Linked DNA regions of Diceros bicornis minor. The protein of the gene in region 3 interacts with the protein of the main gene of each other region in a biochemical or structural test. Links are inferred from orthologs where the notes say so. Each region holds a gene or a part of one and is shown on either strand. Other genes may lie near its edges. The genes, in order: RAD51, APBB1 and EVL.

What was found.
Region 1: the proteins of EVL (region 3) and RAD51 form a complex in vitro, tested with the Homo sapiens proteins (2 studies listed by BioGRID and IntAct). The link is inferred for Diceros bicornis minor from reciprocal best matches to the Homo sapiens genes EVL and RAD51.
Region 2: the proteins of EVL (region 3) and APBB1 form a complex in vitro, tested with the Homo sapiens proteins (2 studies listed by BioGRID). The link is inferred for Diceros bicornis minor from reciprocal best matches to the Homo sapiens genes EVL and APBB1.

Annotation. Positions count from the first base shown.
Region 1 is NC_080744.1:38,525,251-38,533,347, reverse strand, and holds the start of RAD51 (DNA repair protein RAD51 homolog 1), read right to left. Parts: upstream 3,007-8,097; 5' UTR 2,957-3,006; exon of another isoform or gene 2,760-2,956; intron 2,159-2,759; exon of another isoform or gene 2,077-2,158; intron 1-2,076.
Region 2 is NC_080746.1:64,493,677-64,501,703, reverse strand, and holds the start of APBB1 (amyloid beta precursor protein binding family B member 1), read left to right. Parts: upstream 1-5,005; 5' UTR 5,006-5,066; intron 5,067-5,324; exon of another isoform or gene 5,325-5,461; intron 5,462-5,893; exon of another isoform or gene 5,894-5,980; intron 5,981-8,027. UniProt on the Homo sapiens protein: Transcription coregulator that can have both coactivator and corepressor functions. Adapter protein that forms a transcriptionally active complex with the gamma-secretase-derived amyloid precursor protein (APP) intracellular domain.
Region 3 is NC_080763.1:45,031,149-45,038,697, reverse strand, and holds the start of EVL (ena/VASP-like protein), read right to left. Parts: upstream 3,060-7,549; 5' UTR 2,624-3,059; coding exon of another isoform or gene 2,619-2,623; intron 1-2,618. UniProt on the Homo sapiens protein: Ena/VASP proteins are actin-associated proteins involved in a range of processes dependent on cytoskeleton remodeling and cell polarity such as axon guidance and lamellipodial and filopodial dynamics in migrating cells.

The DNA.
Region 1 (8,097 bases), on a different chromosome or scaffold from region 3:
AAAAAAATGATGAAAGATTAAACTGCTTCAGTTCCATTGTTCCCTTCCAGCAAGCGGGGTTTGGGGGTGGTGGTGGGACAGGAGTGAAATGAAGGTACATAATGACTGCCCATAAGCCTCCATTTCTGACAGAAACAATGGACTGGGATGAGAAAGGCACTTCTCATCTTAGGCAAGAATCATAGCTTGTAGTCACACATTTTGCTTCTGATAGGAGTGTATGAAATTTAAAGATCACCATATTAATCAATTACAGACCTCAATGAATGCACAAATGAATAAATAACATGCAAGTACCCTGCTCAGTCTGAAATATTCCAGATGAGCGTAAGGCCCAAAGCTCAAGTCAGGTTATTATGATAGAGTTAAGATTGCTCAGGTTGAAAAGAAGAACTGAGAACAAAAAAATTTTTTAATTATTTTCAGGAGGTATTAGTAAAAGCGAACAAGCCTTGATGTCCACAGAATAAATGGACTTAAATCACACCAAAACAACCTGGACAATTTAACAATCAGGATAAATTTAACTCAAAAGATAACAGATATTGGGCTGGCCCCGTGGCTTAGCGGTTAAGTGCGCGCGCTCCGCTACTGGCAGCCCGGGTTCGGATCCCGGGCGCGCACCGACGCACTGCTTCTCTGGCCATGCTGAGGCCGCGTCCCACATACAGCAACTAGAAGGATGTACAACTATGACATACAACTATCTACTGGGGCTTTGGGGGAAAAAAAAAGGAGGAGGATTGGCAATAGATGTTAGCTCAGAGCCGGTCTTCCTCAGCAAAAAGGAGGATTAGCATGGATGTTAGCTCAGGGCTGATCTTCCTCACAAAAAAAAAAAAAAGATAACAGGTATGAAATCTCCATTCTTAGAGACTTGACATGACCATTTGTTCTTGATTGGTACAGATACAGATCTCGTAGATGGCAGATTTAGCATAATGTGAGTCTATGATAAGTCCAAATATCGAATCAGCTGAACATAATTTAAATTTAAATGTCTCCCTTCATAATTTACGGAAAAGATGGCACTGCAGAGTAATGGGGAAAGGATGGTCTTTTCAATTAATAGTACTGGATTGATTGGATAGCCTTATAGAATAAAATAAACTTGATCTCTATCTCATACCACAGAAAAATAATCAATTTCCAATGTAGATTATAGATCTAAGTGTAATGGGAAAAACAAAGCTTTTAGAATATAGACAAATATCTTCACAACTTTGGGACAGAGAAAGACTTCTTAAACTAGATACGTAAAGCAATAACCAAAAACGAAAAGACTGAAAAACTAGACTATACTTTTATTTAGAACTTCTATCCATTAAAAGACACCATGAAGGGAATGAAGTCAAACTATAGTGAGCGGAGAAAATATTTACCACATATATACACCAGGGGCTGATAACCAGAATATATAAAGAATTCCTTCAAATCAGCAAGACAGGCAACCCAAGAGAAAAACAGGCAATGGATGTGAACAAGGCCTTCACAACAGAAGATAGTCAAATGGCCCAACAAACATATGAACAAATGTTTAACCTCATTAAGAATCAGGGAAATTAAATACTAAAACCACAAGATACAACTATATACCTACCAGAATAGCTAAAATTAAAAAGATTGACAATATCAAGTGTTAGCAATCATGTGGAACAACTAAACACTCAAACACTGCTGGTTTGAGTGTAAACTGGTACACCTTTGGAAAAGTAGTATTCAATGTGAAAGCTGAAGATAGACAAATGCTATGACCCAAGAATTTCACTACTCTGTATTATTAGCCACTGAAAAGCACACACATGTGCACCAAAATGTATACAGAAATGTTCTCAGCAGCCTTTCTCATAAAAGCCAAAAACTAAAAACAACCCAAATGTCTACCATGGGTAGAATGAATAAGGAATACAATATAACAACGAAAAAGAATTACTGCTATATGCAAAGACGTATGAATCTACAGACAGAATGTTGAGCAAAGCCAGACACAAAAATATAAATATACAGTATTACTTATACAAAATTCAAAAACAGGCAAAATTAGTCAAGGGTGTTAGAAGTCAATATAGTGGTTACCTTTGGGGAGAAGCGGGGAGAGTATTAGACAAGGGGGCACAAGCGGGGCTTCTGCAGGGCTGACAGCGTTCTACTTCTTTACCTGAGTGGTGATTACACAGGTATATTCATTTTGTTAATAATTCATGGAGCTGTGTACACTTTTGATTTGTGCACTTTTCCACATACATATTACACTTCACTTTAGAAGTTTAAAAAAAAACAAACCTCACTACAGATCGTTCCTTAGGCATCACTAAAAGGTCTTCCGCATTAGATAACGAAAATTTCCCTTTGGCAATTGGAGTTTGGTACTTTGTAAGCAAAACACGGTGTAATGGAAAGAAGACTGACCAGAAATCCGGAAACCCTGGCCCCGACATGAAACAGCTGTGACTTTAAGTCACCACACCTCCCCGGATCTTGGCTTCCTCGCCGACGCCCATAAAGCAGGGGTTGGAAAGGAAGCCGTCTAAGGTTGCTTCCACCTCTAAAGACTGGGGTCCGCTGCTGTTTTGCCACAACGAGGTCCGAAGGTCGATGTGCCCGGGCACGCCCCAGCTCCGCCCCGCCATCTTGGAGCTTCTCGGCGCAGAGGGGCCCCATAAGCCGGCCGGGGGAGCAAGGGCCCGGGGCCCGGTCCGGCTAACGCAGGGACGAGCCCGGCGGTGGAAAGGGGCCCGGTCTGCGCCTTACACACTCACCTTGGCTTGCGGCGCTCGCTACTCTCCCGGGCGGGCTGCGCGCTCCGACTTCCCTCCGCTGGCTCGGGCGCGCTCGACCCCGGACGGACTCCAGACCCCCTCGCTTGCGCCTCACTTCTCTACTCCCTTGCTCTGGCCCCTGCACACAACCCAGGTGAGCTTCAGCTCCCGACTACGCGCCCCGGAGCCCGTCTCACCTCTCCTCAGCCCTCAGCGCGCGCGCCGTCCGGCAGCTTTCGGAAAACCCGCCAAACCTCTGGCAGGGTCACGCCCGCGTCAACGTAACGTCTCCCCGGCCTTCTCGGATCCGCCTTCTAGCCCCTTCAGCCACTGCTCGCGAGCTTAAGAGATGGGTCAACGGAACTTGACCTTGCATGGTATTATGGATTGCCCTCTTCCTTTTCCTCCTAAGGGCTAATTCAAAATTTGGGAGTTGCAGCTTTCTTCTCCTTACCAGATCGAGGACTACAACTCCCAAGAGGTAGTGGGGTTGGCCCGAGATTACATCTCCCAGTATGCACCGCCGGCGGACGCCGCGACTGTAGTTCCTTAGCCCTCCTGGGAAATAGCGTGGCTCTGGAGAGCTGTTGTTGATTTGCTTCTGAAGTTTCTAAACGTGAGCTTTTGGCACTTCAGATAGCTGTGAGCCTCCGGTTCAGTCAAATTGTCAGAGCCGGGCGCTTTCCAGGCCCCTGCAGGCGGTGGAGCTGAGGACACTCGAGCAGATGGATTAAACTGGGAAATAGAGCTAGTGGAGGGAAGAAAGAAATGGCTGAAGTATTAGTCAAGCTGTGGTACATTACTGAAGATTTGCAGGACTCCAGAGGAAAGAGGCATTGATTGTGAGAGGGTAAACCTTATGGTTTACTAGAAAGTTTGACCTGTGATTCCGATTTTAAAGAGTCAATAGGGTTTCCCAGGCGAGGAAGAGAGAGAAGACATAAACAGAGCAGTGTGGGCATGGACATTAACGACATGGTCAAGGAATAGTATTGTCTGATGAGGGAGGAAAAGTGTCGTAAGAGGTGCTGAGACTGGAAAGTTACGTTTAGTTCAGGCTATGAAGAGGCTTAAGACCAAGTATGGAGCTTTGTCTTTATTTAGGTAATGGGGAAATCATTGAAAATTTTTAAGCAGACGAGTCATGTGGTTAGATCTACTTTTTTCTCCACCAATACTTTATATTTGTGGAGTGCTTCAAAGTTCATAAAGTTTTTATTTAATCCTCACACCATTATCACGTGGCAATGAAGGATAGATTTCGGGAGAGTGAGAGTCAAGACAGCAAAAACTGTCAGGAAGCTCTTGGCAATATTTCAGGCAAGAGATGAAGGCTTGAATTAGAGCAATGCCAGAAAGAACAAGTTCAAAAAGCATTCTGGAGGTAGAATCACCCTAACTTAGTGATTACATATAGTACCTGGGGATAATAGTGAATTGCTTTCCATACCAAAGATACCCACATTTACATCCCGTTCTTCACACACCCTCCTCCTGAGAGCATCTGCAAACCCACAGCTCCTCTTGGCTGAGTGATGTTGTATGACTTTGACCTTTCCTTTTAATGAAATTTATGTGTCTGTGTAGATGTCAAACCAGAGAAGTCCCATCTGCAGAAAGATTAAGAAATTGAGAGACTGAAAAATTGGGAGAGAGTCTGAGACAGAGAGAAACAGTTTTAAATTCTGACTGCTTTCCAGATCTCCTTTCCAGTTTCTCAGAGGCCTGGCAGCACTTACTGCTCTTGAAGTCTGTGAGATACCTCTACATTCCAATAAATCTCCCTTCCATTTTTTTCTACTTAAACCAATTTGAGTAGTTTTCTGTTCCTTTCCTCCAATAACCCGCTAAGAACTGAAAATAAGACAAACTAGATTTTTTGCTGACAGTAAAATTAGCAATCCATGAAAATGTTGATAAATGTGTAACTGATAAGTTTTGGATATATCCTAAATTATAATCTAAGTGATCTATCTGAAATCTCAAGGAGACAACCTCTAATAAGATCAAAACTTAATCAGCAGAAACGTAATCTTTTGTCTCAAGAAAAATAATAATCTCTGGGCCCTAGTGGTTAAGTTTGCGCGTTCTGCCTCAGCAGCCCGGGATTCACCAGTTCCGATCCTGGGCACGGACCTACTCACTGCTCATCAAGCCATGCCGAGGCAGTGTCCCACACAGAACTAGAAGGACCTACAACTAGGATATACAACTAGGTACTGGGGCTTTGGAGAGAAAAAAGAAAAAGAGGAAGATTGGCAACAGATGTTAGCTCAGGGCGAATATTCCTCAAAAAAAAAAAATATGTATATATATATGTGTATATATATATATAATCTCATTGGCATAGTCAGCCTGGAGCACAGAAAGGGAAAGCCAGTGTCACATCCAAGTGATCCATTTGAGTAGTGCAAGGATGATTCAATATTAGGAAGTCTGGGGCCGGCCCCGTGACTTAGCGGTTAAGTGCGCATGCTCCGCTGCTGGCCGCCGGGGTTGGGATCCCGGGCACGCACCAAGGCACCGCTTCTCTGGCCGTGCCGAGGCCGAGTGCAGCACATACAGCAACTAGAAGGATGTGCAACTATGACATGCAACTATCTACTGGGGCTTTGGGGGGAAAAAATAAATAAATAAAAATCTTTAAAAAAAAATATTAGGAAGTCTGTTATTATAATTGACCATATTAATAGGTCAAGAAGAAAAACCGTGTGGTTAATTTCATCATATTGAAAATGCATTCAATAAAATTCAACATAAATTCCTGAAGAGGGCAAAAAAGTTAAAAAGGAATTAGATGTTTCCCTAACAGGATCAAGAAAAAAATAGATGTCCCAAACAAGCTGCTGTCATCTGCTTACCGTGACATGTTAGAAACATTTTCATTAAAATCAAGAACAAAATTGTCTATTGCCTCTGTTATTTACTATTTTTCAGGAAGTGCCACTAAGTATAATAATAAGAGAATGAAGTAATAAAAAATAATAAAAGATGTAAATGTTGGAAAAAATTTACAGATATGATTATATACCTGGATAGTTTAAAGGACAATAAGAGAATACATTAGTGTAACTAATTACAAAATACAAAAAGATCAGAGCTTTATTAACTGCTGACAATAACTAATTAGACAATGTAGGGAAAAAAAGATCCCATTCACAGTAGTAACAAAAACCATTTCTACGAATAAACTTTTGGAAATGTTCAGGGGCTGGCCCCACGGCTTAGTGGTTAAGTGCACACGCTCCGCTACTGGCGGCCCGGGTTCGGATCCTGGGCGCGCACCAGTGTGCCACTTGTCCGGCCATGCTGAGGCAGCGTCCCACATACAGCAACTAGAATGATGTGCAACCATGACATACAACTATCTACTAGGGCTTTGGGGAGAAAAAGGGAAAAAAAATGAGGAGGATGGGCAATAGATGTTAGCTCAGGGCCGGTCTTCCTCAGCAAAAAGAGGAAGATTGGCATGGATGTTAGCTCAGGGCTGATCTTCCTCACAAAAAAAAAAAAAAAAAAGAAAGAAAGAAATGTTCAGGACCTATATGGAGAAATCTCTGAAACTGTGTTCCCAGAGGAGGCTCAACATTATAAAGTTGAAAATTCTCCAAAATCAGAGAATTCCCAATAGAAATCCCAATGGGCTTTGTGGCAATCACTGTTGGTTGCCTACCCAACAGTCATTGCCCTTCTTTATGCCTAAGAGAACCTAGTTTGTGGAAGGATGCTCACTCGTAAGATTTTGGATGACTTTGCCTTTATCTGTATCAGTTTTTTTTAATTTAATTTTTTTGAGGAAGATTGGCCCTGCGCTAACATCTGTTGCCAATCTTCCTCTTTTTTCCTTTTTTCTCCCCAAAGCCCCAGTATGTAGTTGTGTATCATAGTTGTAGAGTTGTAGCTCTTCTATGTGGGGTGCCGCCTCAGCATGGTTTGATGAGTGGTGAGTAGTTCCTCGCCCAGGATCCGAACTGGCAAACCCTGGGCCACCGAAGCAGAACACGTGAACTTAACCACTTGGCCACTGGGCCAGCACCTCATCTATATTCTTTATGTATTGTTTGAATTTTTGGTATGAATTTGTTTTGACTTTATGATGATAATTTAAAATGGTAACAAAAATATTAAATGCCTTGGAATAAACTTACAAGGAAAGTGCACATCCTGTGAGAAGGAAACTTTGAGATATTAAAGAAGGACACAAGGGGCTGGCCTGGTGGTGTAGTGGTTAAGTTGGCGCACTCCGCTTTGATGGCCTCGGGTTCGCTGGTTTGGATCCCAGGTGCGGACCTATGCAGCGCTTACCAAGCCATGCTGTGTCAGGCCTCCCACATGTAAAGTAGAGGAAGATGGCCACGGATGTTAGCCCAGGGCCAATCTTCCTCAGCAAAAAGAGGAGGATTGGCAACAGATTTTAGCTCAGGGCTAATCTTCCTCACCAAATAAATAAAGAAAAGAAGGAAACAAAACAGAAAAGCATCCTATCTACTTGTTTTGGAAGAGTCAGCATCTTAAACATATCAGTTCTCCGTTAGTTATCTTTAAATCTAGTATAACATGATCTCAGTAAAATGTCAACAAGATTTTTTTTTTGGAATTGAACAAACTAGTTCTCACCTTTATATGGTAAAATAAAAAGCAAGAAGAGCCAGGAAAATCCTGATATAATAGAGCCTGAACCAGCCAAATATTAAAACATATTATAAAACCACAATAATTAAAAAGTACTTGTACAAAAATGATGGGTCAATGGAACAGAATAGTTATCCCACTGTCTAAGTTTCCTATTGCTACTGTAACAAATTACCACAAATTTAGTGGCTTAAAGCAACAAAAATGTAGTATCTTACAGTTCTGGATGTCAGAATTCCAAAATGGGTTTCACTGGCCTAAAATCAAGGTGTTGGCAGAATTATGTTCCCTCTAGAGGTCCTAGGAGAGAATCTGTTTCCTTGCCTTTTCCAGTTTCTAGAGACATCAGCAGGGGCTGGCCCCATGGCTGAGTAGTTCAAGTTCTGCATGCTCTGCTTTGGTGGCCTGGGTTCACATGTTCAGATCCTGGGCACGGACCTACTCCACTCATCAGCCATGCTGTGGAGGCATCCCACATACAAAGTGGGGGAAGATGGGCACAGATGTTAGCTCAGGGCTGATCTTCCTCAAGGAAAAAAAAAAGAGGAAGATTGACAATGGATGTTAGCTCAGGGCGAATCTTCCTCAGCAAAAAATAAAAATAGAGGCATCTGCATTCTTTGGTTCCATCTTCAAAGCCAACAATCACTCTGACCTCTGCTTCCATCATCACATCTCCTTCTCTGACTCTGACATTCTGCCTCCC
Region 2 (8,027 bases), on a different chromosome or scaffold from region 3:
GATTTGAGAAACAGCCTCTCTGAGCTTTGTGTGTGGTATATGTGTGTGTACAAGCACTGTGTATGCAAAATAGGAGAGTGTATTGTACCAATCACTGTTCAATAAGGATATAGAAATCACTCTAGATATAAGCAGAGAAGGATTTAATGCAAAGAATTTGTTACAAAGTTGTGGGGGAGGTCTGGAGAAGCATAAGAGGGAAAGCAGGGTTACCCAGAGATCAGGAAACTACCGCTAATCTTGGGTTAGAGGAGCAAAAGGGAGAAAAAGTACTGCCCAAAGATCAAGGAGCTGGAACCTACAAATCTGTACTCACTTGCTGATGCGGCTGGAGTTTGTACTGCTGATGCTACTGGAACCGCCCCCACTTCTGCTAGGCAGGAACCACTGCTGCTGACGTTGCCAGAGGCACTGCTAAAAGCAGAAGGGCTTCTCCCTTCCTCCCATCTTCCTCACTCGAGGGTTCCCATTGGCAGAACCTAACTGGAGCGAAGTGACAAAGGAACCTGAGAAATGTGGTTTTCAGCTTTCCAGTGCTGTGGGTGCAGGGGAGATTACAGAAGAGTGGATGTGGGGATAAGTACCAACAGGCAATATCTGCCACACATATTCATCATAACTTGTGGCTGCAAGTGATAAAACCCACTCAAAGTGGTGTAAGGAAAAAAGGAAATTTATTGACTCATGTGACTTCAGGCAGAGGTTAATATAGCTGTTAAATTGATGTTATTAGGCATCTCTCTCTCTCCATCCTTTAGCTCTGCTTTCTTTGACTTGGCTTCATTCTCAGGCAGGCTCAACCTTCCTGGTGGCAAGATGTCCACCAGGCTTACATTCTACCAGCACCTTTTACCCAACAGTTGCAGGAAAATTCCTGGATCTGATTTTCACTGGCTCAAATTTAGTCATGTGACCATCTTTGACTTGATCACATTGACCTGATCATGGGTTAGGAGCCCAACACTGAAGTGTGTTGTGGGGCTGGAATGATTCCCATCTGAAGCACACAGACTTAGAGTGGGGAGAGGATGGGTCTTCAAAGAAAACTGATGTGCTGTGACCAATAAAAGGGGGAATGGATGCTGCACAGATAACAACAACAAAGGTAACAACAACATGTTCATGACAAGATAATACTTACCTTGTAAAGTTTTTCTTGTTCTCTATCCAACCCTCCTTCCCTTCCTCAGCTAAAGACTTTGAAAATATTGATATCACTAGGCATGAAATACCTCAACCTCTTGCCTGCTCCCATCTTATTAATTACCCTACATATATCCTTGTCATCACCCCTACCCCTGCAGTCTATAAAGTCAAGGTGTATAATTCTTCTACATGAGCCCTTGATCCCACCTCCTCTCATCACCTCCTGGATCTCACCGCATCTCTCATCTTCTTTTTTCTTTACTTTCAAATCCATCTTCTCTACTGGTATCTTTTTGTAGCTTATACCCATGTCCAATTCTCCACCATCTTAAAAAAAAGACAAAACCAGAATCTTTAACTTCATATCACTTTTCAGGTACCATCTATTCTTTCTTCCAAATTTCTCAAAAGAGGGTTCTGCACTTACTTATTCTACATCCTCATTTTCATTTGCTCAATTCATTGCATTGCGGCTTCTGCCTCCATTTTCTGCTGATATAGATCATATCATGGGGATCCATGACCTCCATGTTGCCAAATTCAAAGGATAGTTTCTTGCGTTGACCTTATTAGAAATCTTTGCTGCATTTGATGCTGTGGATCAGTTCGTCCTCCTTGAAAGTCTTTCCTCCCTTGGATTTCTTCCATGACATTACTCTCTCCTAATTCTTCTCTTACTCTCTATTTCTTCTCAGCTTCATTCTTGGCCTTCTTTTCCTCTGCTGGCTCCCCAAATGCCGGCATTCCCAGAGTTCAGTCCTTAGTCCTTTTCTCTTCTCACCCTATACGCTCTTCCTGGGAATGGATTAGAATAGTCCTGCTGAAGAAGGGTGTTGAGGAATTCCTTGCCAGGCCTACCATCTGACTTATGAACTCCTTATATTATGTGGGAAGTTTTTACTCCTTATGGATTTTCTGAATGATAACAACCACCCAGAAGAATGAGGGTTTATTAGATCAACTACAAGAAAAGTTACAATATCAAAGCAATTCTTATATGTAGTGGTAGAAAAGGCTGCCTTTGCTCCATTAAGTGTCTTTGCTATTCTTCCATATAGGCGAGTTAGGTGCCAACTGCCTGGTAATGCTAATTGGCTGGTCTATTAAACCAAACAGCATAAATCCAGTACTCTTGGTAAGTGATTCATGATTTTCCTGATAGGTCCAAGGTAATAATTTTAAAAGACTGCTGCCTCAGAGGGCCCCACATTGGTCAGAACCACACACAGCACCCGAGGTGATTCATAGGCTATTGGTTGCTCCTAGGCCATGGAGAGCACCAGAAGGGGGAAGAGATACAATAGAGAAAGGATGGATGGATAGCACAGGTTCACTCCCCTTTAATCAGGACGCTTTGTACCCAGGAGGAGATTAGGGATTCAGGAAGACTGTGTGTGGGTCAAACTGCACTGTGTGTGAACTGTACATTTTCCTTTTTGCATTTTAATTAAACTAGCTAATTAAACTCCTCTCCTTACCCTCACCATCCTATCTGTGTGCCTCTGGTTACCTGAAAAGATTTCCCTGGATATTGCAGCCATCCTGCTCAATGGGGTTGGGAAGATAAGTATTCTGGTGGGCTGTTTGAAAATGGGTGATATTTCTGGATTTTTTCATTTATTGAAGCAGAAACCTGGAAGTAATCCTTTTATTTAGCCAATCAATCAATAGACCACTAATTTCTGTGAATTCCACCTCCTGAATATTCACTAAACCTGTGCAATTTTCTCCATCCCTACTCCTACCACTATAATCATCTCCCACCTAGACTACATCAGTTACTTACTAACTGGTCCCCACAGTGCCAATTTTGCTCTCCTCCTGTCTATTCTCCACTTAGCAGCCAGAAGTGATTTTCTAAAATGCAAGGGTGAACATGCCATTCCCCTGCCTCAAATTCTTTGATAATTTTCCATTCCCCTTAAAATAAAGTCCCAAACTCTTAGCCTAACATACAAGGTCCTCCTTGATTTGGCACCTACCCACCTTTCCAGCTCATCTTATGCCATTCTTCTCCACCATCATACGCATACTGGCCTTCTTGTGTTTCTCCCTTGACTTGGAATAATTTTCTCTTTTCTTGGCTGACCTCTATCTCATTCATCCCTTCCCCTCACGTAAGTGCCACTTCCCTATGAAAGCCTTCCCAAACCTTCTCAGGCCAAATTTAATCCACCCACATAGCATCCTGCACATCTCCTTCAAGATACTCATCACATTTCTAATCACATGTTTAATGTCTCTTTCCCCTGTTATTTGAGCTTCATGGAGGCAGGGACTGAATCTTTTTTTTTTTTTTTTTTTAATTTTAATTGACTTTATTTATTTATCTTTTGTGAGGAAGATCAGCCCTGAGTTAACATCCATGCCAATCCTTCTTCTTTTTGCTGAGGAAGACTGGCCCTGGCCTAACATCTGTGCCTATCTTCCTCCCCTTTATATGGGACACCACCACAGCATGGCCTGACAGGTGGTGCCTCACTGGGTGCTTGGGATCCAGACTCAGGCCACCAGCAGCAGAGCGCACGCAATGAACTGCTACGCCACGGGGCTGGCCCTGAATCTTGTTTCTTTACATGTTCCTAGCACCAAGGATAGTGCCTCACACCTAATAATTATTTGTTGAAAGAGAATGAATGAATGAGGACAGCTTTCCTCTTCTGGGTAACTCTTACTCATCTTTCAAGGACCCAGGTCAGATGTTATTTCCTCCAGGTTGGGTTACAGTCAAATCTGATTCATCTTTGGATCCCTAGAGCCAAGCTTGGGACCTGGAACACGGTTCATATATCACAGATGTTTGTCAAATCATAATAAACTCTTGGCCAGGAGTTGATAATTGTTGAAACTGAGTGATGGGTATATGAAGGTTCATTATACTGTTCTGTCTCCTTTTGTACATATTTGAAAATTTCCATAATAAAAAGTTAAAACATTTATATTCACCTCAAGTCGAGTGAAAGTGTGTGGTCAAAGATGATCTTGAAGCCTATGGCTTGGGCAAACCAGTAGATGGTGGTGCCATTTACTGGGATGGATGAAGTGGAGCTGCATTCAGTCGTGTGTGTGCATGCACATGCGCCTGTGCGCATGTTGGGGAGGGTTCTTTTCCACCCCAGTGAAACTTCTTAGAAGGTCAATAAAGGGATGAGATAATTTAAATTTGGACACCTTTAGTTTTAGGTCTCTTGAGGGTATCTCCTGTCAGTTGCTCAACAGTTAGCAGGTACAATAAATGAAAACCTCTGCCTTAGAGGAATGAGCCATGAGAAGGTTTCTGGATGGTAACATTCCCCCTTCATTATCTTTGATGGCCTCTGGGCTCTGATCTGACTGACCACTGGGAACTATCCCACTATCCAGGGAGTCTGCAGTAAATATTGTGCCCCACCATCCCCTCCTTCACACTTTTCATCTACCTTCTCGTCTTCTTTCTTCTCTCTTGTTAATTTCTACTGGGGAGGATTTGTTCTCGACATCTGGGAGGCCTCCCTTTATGTTCAGCAGCAGGGGTCGGGTGTTAGGAAACATCTAGGTTCCAGTCTGATTTCACTTACTTGTGACTGCAGGCAACTCACTTTACCTTTCTGAATCTCAGCATCTGCCTCTGAAAAATGAGGATAATAATAGCCAGCTTCCCAGGGCTCATGTGAGGACGAATGCATGTAAGAGGTTTAACACACAGCCCGGCACAGTGTAAGCGGTCAATAAACACGAGCTATTATTATCACCAGCGCTGCGTCCTCATTGCCTCTCCACCAGGACGTCAGGGAGCTTGCCGCAAGAGCGGGGCAGGCTGCCTCCTCGGAGCCCCTCACCGCGCGGCCACGGCCCCGGGCACGGCCACCGCCGCTCCCGCTCCAACCTCGTCGGAGCGTCGCCCCGCGGGGGTGCGGGGCCAGGGCCCTGCGGGGCGCGGGGTGAGTCCGTGGCCTCGTGGAGGAGGGCGGTGCCAGCCTGGGCACGGGTCGGCGGAGGCTGGGCAGCGCTCTGGGACCCGGGGAACCGCGGCTGGATGGGGGGTGTTGGGCCGTGGGGCTCACCGCGGCCGAGGGTCCTGTAGGGTGGAGCCCTCTGGGAAGCGGCAGCTAATGCACCCCCGAGGGGCTCTCGCTCGTGGCCCGCGCCCGGCCCAAGATGGCGCCCCTCCCCCTCCCCCTCCCCCCGCCCCGCGCGCGCCCCCGCCGCTCCGGGCGCGGCCCCGCGGCCCGCGCGCTCCTGGGCGGGGGATGTTGTGATGGAGAAGCCGCCGCGGAGTCGGAGCCCCGCAGCCTGAGCCACCTCCGCCACCAGGGCCTGGGGCCTCCCCGCGCAGGTAGGAGCTGCCCCAGCCTGGGTCCAGCCACCGCGGCCGGATCCCGACCCCCAGCGGCCAGTAGACCCCGCAGTCCCTTCCCCGCGGCCGACCGGGTCCCCTGGCCAGGCCCGATCCCCGCGAGCGGCCCTCCCACCGCGCGCATTCCGACCCCGGTCCTGTCCCCCCTTGTAGGCTCCACCTCGGCCCTCACACCCTCCCCTCCCCGACCTTTACCTCCTGCTCCTCTGGGATGAATAGGGGGCGAGTATAAGGGACGCAAAGCGAGGGGCAGTGGGGGATGGGGGACGGAGGATGGAGGAGGGGAGGTCAAGGGCTGGCAAGGGGACGTGGGGTGAGGTAGACAGAGACCGCACGGATTCCTGCAGGGTCCCAGGCCTGGGGTCTGTCAAGCCGCATTCTGTTGCCCTCAGCGACCAAGGGGTGTGCCCTGGGGCCGGCTGTGTCCCCAGCTAAGCCGGGAGGCCTAGCACTCGGAGGAGACTCTTGAGGAGCAGTTTTCCCATTGCCAATTCAGAGGTGATTCCCAACCTATTTTGAATCTGCCTGTGCATTTCTTGCATTCCCAGCCTCTCCTGCATAGTCCTGGCTCTCTCCACTCTTCAAAGCCAAAACCTTGTCTACACTTACCCTTCATTTCCTCACTTCCCATTCATTCTTAAAACCACTTCATTCAGTCTTCTGTCTCTGACACCCACGGAAACTGCTCAAGCCAGGGTTACCGGAGACCTCCATGTGGCCAGTTCCAGTGGACACTTTCCTGGTATCCCCCGTTACCTTTCTGCAGTATTCAGTGGTGGTGTCAACTCTCCTTGAAGCATTTTTCTGGCTTCTCTCCTGTGGCATTGTCCACTCCATCTCAGTCTCATTTGCTCTCTCCTTCCTCTCCCTTTAGATGTTGGTGAGGCTCTTGATTCTGTCCTGAGCTGTCATCTCTCATTCGGCACTTTCTCTTTGGGTATTTTATTCACTCCCAAGGCTTCAAATTTTGTATATGTTTATATCCAAATTTGTATATCTGGTCCAGACCTCTTTCCTGAACTCCAGACTCAATATCCAGCTGTCCTCATGACATCCCTTTGGAAGTCCAGCAGGAACTCCAGACCCACAGATCCCAAGCTGAATTGGTTTCCCTCTGTCCCCTGTCTACCCTTCTTCCAAATCCGTGTTTCCTTCAACTCTCAGAAATGGCTACTTTCCAAGCGGTAACCCAAGCTGGAATCCTGGGCAACATTCTAGATTAACCTCTCTCCCTCACTCTCTACCTCTGATGTCACCAAGTTCTGTCACATCTACTACCAGAATAGTTTTCAGATCCATTCATTTCAGCCGTCTCCACTGCTACCAAACTGAATTTGGGCCACAATCCTTTTTGTCCTTGACTGCTCTAACAGCATACCCTCTTGCCTTTCTCCTGTTAACTACTCTCGACATAGTGTGATCCTTTAAAAAATGCATCTATCTGATCATCTATTCATTCAACAAATATGCTCTGAGTACCTAATATATACCAGGTACTGTGGTAGGCACTAAAGATATAATTATGAGCAAAACAGACTGGATTCTTGTCCCCAGGGAGCTGACAAACTAGGGGGGAAATCAGATAAGAATAAAATTATAGATATAATAAATACCATGAAGGAAAGGTGGACAGTGCCTTGTAAATACACAAGAACACAAGCTGAACTGGTCTAGGGGACAAGGAGAGAGCTACAAGGAAAGTTTCTCTGAGCATATGACATTTGAACTAAGATGTAAGAGATGAGTAGGGGTTGGTTAGGCTGAGAGAGTAGGGGAAGGAGGTTCCAGGCATAAATCACATGCAAACACTTTGTGGAAGGAGAGAGTACTTTGTCTTCGAGGAGTCAAAAGAAGGCCAGTGAGACTGGAGAGCAGAATGCCAAAGCTAGAGAGGAAGGTAGGGGCCAGGCTGAGCAGGACAGTTTAGGCCATGTTAAGAATTTTGGTCTTAGGGTCTTTGTCCTTGATGTGGATTGTTGATGATAGTGGGTGGGGAGAGTAGATCAAGTCCAGAAATTTTTCTCAGCAAGAAAATTGTCAATACCTGGAGATGGATCAAATATGGCGAGTGAGGGAGAAGATAATGTCAAGCATGGTACCTCTACTTCTGGTTTGCACAACAGGATGGATGGTCATATCATTCCACAAACCAGGATCCTGAAAGAGGACCAGTTAGGGTGTGGGAGAGAGAAACATGAGTGGGCATGTTAGTTTGAGAGGGCTTTGAGACATCCAGGTAAAGATGTTGAGGAGAAAGTTGTATGTACATGTGTGGAGCTCAGATGAGCGGTCAGAAATGGAGATGTAAATTTGGAAATCATCAGTGTATAGGTGGTAACTGAAGCTATGAGCATGAATGAATACCTATATTGAATATCAGGTAAGAAAGAGAAAAGAACATAAGAACAAGCTGTGAGAAACTCCAGTGTATAGTGGCTGGTAGAGGAAGATGAGCCAGCAAAGGAGTCTAAGAAACCACCAGGCAGTAACTACAGTGTAGGAAGAAAACCAGGAGATGTAGCATGTGGAAGCCATGGATGAAAGT
Region 3 (7,549 bases):
AAAAAATTTGTATGACCCCCTGTATTGCGATATTCACTTTTTTGTGGTGGTCTGGAACCAGACCCTCAATATCTCTGAGTTACGCCTGTATAAGTGGGGGGAAAAAAATCCATACTAGAAACAGCATAGAAAATGGCTGAAAAGCAAAGACAAAGAGAACATTTTAAAAGCAGCCAGAGAAAAAGACCAGTCATGTGTTGCTTAATGACTGGGATACATTCTAAGAAATGCATCATTAGGTGATTTCATCCCTGTACAAATATCACAGAGTGTACTTACACAAACCTAGATGGTATGGGCTACTACACACTTAGGCTATATGGTACTAATCTTACAGGACCACTGTCATATATGCAGTCCATCACTGACCGAAAAATCATTATGTGGCTCATGACTGTACCTTCAAAGGAACAACAGACTGATAAGTGACTTCTCAACAGAAACAATCCAAGTCAGAGATAATAAGATATCTTTAAAGTGCTAAAAGAAAACAATGGCAAACCAAGAATTCTGTAACTACTGAAAAGACCCTTCAAAAATGGAGAAACATGGGGGGCCGGCCCGGTGGCGCAAGAGGTTAAGTGCGCGCGCTCCGCTGCGGCGGCCCGGGGTTCACTGGTTCGGATCCCGGGCGCGCACCGACGCACTGCTTGGTAAGCCATGCTGTGGCGGCGTCCCATATAAAGTGGAGGAAGATAGGCACAGATGTTAGCCCAGGGCCGTCTTCCTCAGCAAAAAAAAAAAAAGAGGAGGATTGGCGGATGTTAGCTCAGGGCTGATCTCCTCACAAAAAAAAAAAAAAAAAAAATGGAGAAACATGTTCTAAAATTAGACTGTGGTAACGGCTGTATAACTCGTGAAAATACTAAAAACCACTGAACTGTATACTTTACATGGTTAAATTTTATGGCCTGTGAATTATATCTCAATAAAGCTGTTTTTTAAAAAAAAATGCAGGATAAATGACATCTGCAAAAAAACACTGTAAGAATTTGTCACCAGCTGATCTGCACTAAAGGAATACTAAAGGGTATTCTTCAGGCAGAAAAATAATGACCCCAAATAGAAGACTGGAAGATGACAAAGGTGGCACTGCAGAACTATGGGGAAAAGATGACCTTTTTGATAAACAGTGCTGAATAAACGGTGCTGGTAAAAATCAAACTTGACCCCTTTTTCACAAGTTCCACAAAAATCAATCCCAAGTGGACTACAGATCTTAATTTGAAAGGCAAAACAGTAAGATTTCTAGAAGACGTTATAGGAAACTATCTTCTTGACTTTGGACTAGAACTACAAATTAGGAAGAAAAAGACATGTAAAGCCCAAAGGAAAACTGGGCAAGACAGCTGAACAGGCACTTCATAAAAGAGGGTATCAAATAAACATGAAAAGATGTTCAACCTCATCAGTCAACAAGAAACTGCAATTTAAAACCACGATGGCACACCACTTCACACTCACCAGCATGGCTAAAATTAGAGACTGACAATACCAAGTGTTGATAAGGATGTGGAGCACAAGAACTCTCATATACTTCCTGGTAGGAGTGTAAATTGATACAAACACTTTGGAAACTTGGCATTATCTACTAAGGTTGAAGATATGCACATGTTTTGACCTACAAATTCCACTGCTAGGTATCTTCCCAACAGAAATGAATGCCCCAGGAGACATATAAGAACATTCATAATAGCATTATTAATAGCTAAAAGCTAGAAACAATTCAAACGTCTACCAACAGTGGAACGGATAAATTGTGGACATTCGTACAATGGAATACTACAGATCAATCAAAATGAACAACAGTTACAACAGAATGGATGAATCTCAAAAACCTCCAGACACAAAAGAATATATATTGTATCATTTCATTTACATAAAGTTCACAAAACAGGCAAAATGAAACGACAGATACTATAGTTTTTATGAGATATGTGTTTAGAAGGTAAAATTTCAGACAAAAAAGGCAAGGAAATGATTATCCCCCAGAAGTCAGGATTAGGCTACCTCTAGAGAGGGAATTCCGGGCTCCTGGGTGCTGGCGGTGTGTATTTCTTGACCTGATAACCGCCAGACCCCCCGGCTGGGTGATAAATCAGCGAGCAGCACATTTGGGGTCTTGCACTTGACTGGCGTGCAAGAAGAAAAGAAAAGGGGGGAGAAAGGGGAGCAGAGGGAGTAAGAGCTGCAGACGGAAGGAAACTCCCGCTTTACAAGGACGCTGAAAGGAGGCTCTGCGCGCCGGCAGAGGGGAGGCTGCGCCCAGGGGGACAGCCCGGAGAGGGAGGCGGAGGGGCTTCGGGCCGGCCTCCTCGGGGCTGGAAGGCACCGAACGGGGCTGCGGCCAACGTGTGCCACCGCGCGGCCGGGGCGCGGCCACACCTGCCCGCGGGGTCGGCCTCCCCCAACCCCGGCCCCGCAGCCCCGACAAGTGCCTCCCGCCAAGGGCAAGGGCCGGCACCCCCCTCCTCCGGGCGCCGCCCCCCCGACCCCCCCCACCGTCCGCGGCGCCCCCCGAGTCTCCCGGAGCCGTCCCCGCGCTCCGGCCGCCGCCCGCCCGGCCCTCGGGCTCTGCGACGCCCGGTCCCCTCTCCGCGCGGCGCCCGCCGACTCACCTCATTGTCGCTGCCGGGGCGGGCGCGCGGGGCCGGGGGCGCGGCGCGGGGCGTTAGCGGGGGAGCCGGCCCCGGGCGCGGCGGCTCCGCGTCTCGCTGGGCTGCGGGCGGCTGCGGGGGCTCATCTTCTCGGGGCGGGCGTCCGGGCCGCTAGCTGCGGGGAAGGGCGGCGGCGGCGGCGCCTGACAGCTGGGCCCCGGCCCCTGCCATCTTGGCGGGCGCGTGCCCGCACCGGCGTCTGCGCGCGCCGCCGGAGGGAGGGGAGGGGGCGAGCGCGTCTGCCCGAGACTCGGGGCGGCGGCCCCCGGGCGGGCGCGGGCAGCTAGGGGTCCGCCGAGGGAGAGGCGGGAGGGCGCGCGCGGGCGAGCTCAGCCCTCGAGGCGAGACTGAGGGTGCGTCCCTCCGCCCGCTGAGGGAAGTGCGCGCGCGTGCGTCCCTCAGCCCGCGGGCGCTGAGGTGAGAGCGCGCGCGGCGGACCGAGCCCGACACAAAAGGCGCGGGGCCCCACAGCCCGCGCCTGCGGGAGAGGCGAGCCGGGGGCTGCGGGGCGGGGCGGGCCGCGAGGGGCGGGGCTTCGAGGGAAGGCTGAGCGGTGAGGGGCGGGGCGGGCCGAGGGGCGGGGCTTCGCAGGAAGGGCGAGCAGTGAGGGGCGGGGCGGAGCTGCGAGGGGCGGGGCTTCAAAGACGGGGGCCCCGTGAGGGGCGTGGCCTCGGGTGGGCGGGGCCTAAAGGGGCGGGGCGCCGGGCCGGCACGTGGAACACTGCGCCCCCTTCCCGCGCGAGGTACCCCACGTACTGACAAAGGCTGGTTAGTGCTCTGGCGTCCTTGGTCCGTGGTCCCAAGCTTCCCCTTCTGCTTCCCTGCTGTGTGCCCCGCTTGCTCAGACGCAGCGGGCAGTCCCAGGGGCGTCGGGGTCAGCAACGACTGACCCCTCTTTTTGTAAATGAAGAGCCAAGGCAGGGACCGAGAGTCGCAGCTTTGGGGCAATATCAGCACCTAAAGGTCCTCCCCCAGCCCAACAGGAGCCCCACCTGGCGCCCCAAAACCACAGCCTGTGAAAAATCACTTCGACAACACGAGGTCGTCCAGTTGTTTTCTCTGCTTAAATCCCCCTCCTTCCTAAAGCAGACACCGTTCATTGTGCTTTTTCAATATCTCCACTAATGCTCCTTTTCCCTCTGTCACAGCAACATTGAAATCACATCTGCCTTTTAAAACATTGGGTCTGAACAAGAGCATATCAAGCGTTTGTGGTGTCTGGCATACAGTAGGAGGGTAGTGGAGGGTGGCTGTTTTGCTCCTGGCCCGGAGTGAGAGGAGGCTCTGTGAGTTACGTGGTTTTGCCCAAGATGCAGGAAATGGTGGAGCCAGCTCTCAAGCCAAGGTTTTTCTGACTCAGAATCGCCAGTGCCTTCCATTCGATTTTGCTGCAGTTGATCTTCGTTCTCACTCATTGCAGATTGGGTCTCTATGGGTTTATCCCCCTCCCTGTCCCCTGTCCCCTCCCTCATCACCCACTTGTTATCAGAGTTCCTCAGAGACTGGTGGTCACACTGCCACTTTCCTTCCCCTATTTGAGCAGAAGTCTTCAAACTCAAAAGGCACCTTGGGCCCCTCTAGTCCTGTTAGCAGCTCCAGAGGGTTTCAGCCTCCCTAACCTTATTTGTCTCTCTATTCCCAGGGTCGAGATTGGCTCTTTGCTACAGAAGAGACTTATTGGATCCTAAAAATTGCTAAAATAGACAAGCCCCAGGTCACTTGGAGACGTCCAGTTTTGCTCTGCAGAGGCAGTGTTACCCCTGGTCAGTGCATATCTGACTGTGAGAAGACCCCCCAATAGCCAATAGCCTGTTTGTTCCCAGCCTGGTTTATAGAAGCATGTGGCCCACTCTGACCTCCAAATTGGGCCTTTTCCCTGCTGCCTTGGAGTCTGACAAGTTGTTACTGTCTTGTAACTGGAAGAAGGTTCGCTGGGAAATGTTGGTGGATTCGTTATACAACACGAGCATCAAAGGTGAGGGGCACACGCCTGCTATCAACCTTTCGGGCTAACTGCCAATCGCCTGGAACAACAAAGACATTCAAGTTCCTTTAAGGAGGATCACAGAATACTGATGCTGGAAGGGACCTGCAAATCCTTCTCTAGGTAAAGGATGGGGGCACGGAACACTGAGAAAGGGAAAGTGGTTTAACATCACCCCGTGAATTCATGAAATCAGCTGTGTCGGGCTCCTGGAGAGGTCGTTTCTTGCATCCGATATTTGTTCCTCAGAGGGCTTCAAGAGCAGCAAGAAGGTCCGGGAAGGACAGGTAGGGGCCACTTGCGCCCTAAACTAAGCCCCACTTCTCCATGAATGGGCATTGGTCTTTGTCTAACAGCCCAAGGATGCTTGGGAAGGAAGAGCTCCCGGTTTTAACCAAGCATCGCAGACCTCTCTCAGCCTCCGTTTCTCACTGACAGACCGGACTCCTGAATCCGTCTTGCAGGCACTGCTGAGGGTCAACACAGAGTAACTCCTGAGAAAGAGCCTTTCTGCCCTTCTCCAGCGCTCGCCCTCTCGCCTCTCCTTCCCCTTTCCCTTAACTGTGGATCTTTTGAAACCAGTCTACTTAACATGTTTCCCATCTACTGAATAAAGACTTTATTCCTTAAAAGTACATGAATTCATGTTTTCCATTCTTCTGATAAAAAGAAAATTAACATTTTTTTGGACCTGTGGCCCTCAAATGATTTGTTTCTGGAGGTCACCATTCCTTGGATTTGAAAAGTTTGCTCCTTGAAGTCAATGACTGTGACATCTGATATGTGTGGGTGTGGGACCCGTGGCCAGGCTGACTACCCCGGGTCAGCTCTGAGGCCCTCCTGGACTGGTTCCCATTCATGGGGGAGGCAGGAAAGATGGGGTTTCTGCTGTCTGTTGAGCCCAGGCTAGTCATCGAGCCACAGACACTTAATAGAGCTAGGATGTTCTCAAAGGGTATCTTGTCTGACCGCCTTGTCCTGAGGAGGGTGAAACTGAGGCCCAGAGAGGTCACACAGGTGAGTGGATGAAGAGCTGGATGAACACGTTTCTGCAGTCTGCAAGTCCCAGGACTGCCCACGTTATCCCATGCTCCCTCCCTGTTTCTTGATGTTTTTCCAGCCCCGGGTCACTGGTGAGGAACCAGCCCCATGGGCCATATTCCCCATTACTTGGCTTTGCCAAAACAAACCTCACTCACCGCAAATAATCAAAAGAAACAGAGTTGCTTTTGATGATTCACCAATGAGACCATGTCTGGTTTATATTAACCAGCATAAGTAAGTTACTAATTCATGCCAGAAACTCAGGTGAAGACAACAACGGATGTCTCAGGGGGCTCAGGGACCACCTGTGACTCTGCATCCCTTTTTTGACAATTCTCATTTACACCATTAATCTCACTGACCAATTCAGTTATTACCAACAACTGTTTTCCTTACATACAACACAATTTGTTTTCATGCATTCTTTCATTCACTGTTTATTGAGCACCTACACATCTCTGCCTCCTCTCATGCCCAGCCCACTGCCTCTGTTTACCTGGCAAGTCATCTTCAACCCTCACCCACATGTCACTTCTCCCCTGGGACCATCAGCACTCCCCTCCCATAGGGCTGCAGGTGCCATTCTCCATACTGCTTTGGGGCTTTTGGCTTGGCCCCATCATACCCCCACTGTACCATATTGGGGTGGTCTTCTTACTTGCTGGTTCCTCCACTAGACTGTGAACTTCATGAAGGCAGCGAGCATGGTTTATTCCTCTTGGTCCCTGAGCTTGTTACAGCACAGAGCTGAAGAGATCCTGCTGGAGTGTTGTCCTTATCCAGGCAGTGCCCGCGGGGTTGGGGACCAGCCTGTGTGCCCAGGCATTACATTTTGGAAACCAAAGCTCCTGCTTGTGTTCTAGGTCCATCTGGCAGGAAATGTCAATTGCTTCTGACCCATTTAGCCTTCCACACACTTGAGGATGGTTCACAGCTGGAGCTTCTCTTTGACTCCACCTGTCAGGCTCCTCGCTCAAAACGCCTCTCCTTAAGATTATGTTTCACCGGCTTTGAAGGCTCAGGAGGGGGTGACTTGGGAGAGGGGCCTGTGGGGGTCCTACTGGGGATGACTCCAGCTTCCTGCTAGGGTAACGCAAGACCTGGACCAATTGCGGGGAAGCTTGGCCAGATTGGGGTTGGGGACAGTTTGGTACCCATCCAGCAGAGGGAAACTTCTTAATGCCACTGTTTGCATTGGGAGGAGAACTGAGGACCCAGGCTGGACAGGCCTGCCTTTCTGGAGGAGTCTGGAGCCAAGTCCTGCATCCAAGGCTGACTTGAGTGTTCCCACTTAATAGGATCTTAATGTTCCCACTTAATTAATTAAGAAAAGTAAGCCCTCAGGCCAGCCCAGCCAGCAATCCTGGAGAGAGCTGCTGATCCCGGGGGAGCCTACGCCCTTTCCCACGAGACCCCAGGCCTTTGGGAAGGGATGTTGCACCCAGCTCCTACCTAGGAGAGCCCAACCTCCCTCCCGCATTCCCAGCCCCAGTTATCAGGGCTGTTCACCATCAGCCCTTGGGAAGAAACTTCCTGATGACTTTGGCCTCTTGGCTGTCTCAGACCTGCCTTGGAGACCCTGACAGCAGGCCTTTGTGGGGCTGAGGGAACTCACTCCTGCAATGGGGCTAGGAGGCCTGGGCCTCTGAATGTGTGAGCAGACATTTTAGGGTACTTGGAAAGTTTGAAGGCAGCGATTCCCCCAATGTGATGTTCTACCAAGTTGAGTAGTCAGAAGGTGGCACGGCTAACAGAGGGATTGATAGAGAAGTTATAAGGGAGAATCAGGAAGATCTTGCACAAGAGCAATCTGAGAACAAAACGTAATTTGGGGAATAAAACACACATTATTTAAAAAATTTTT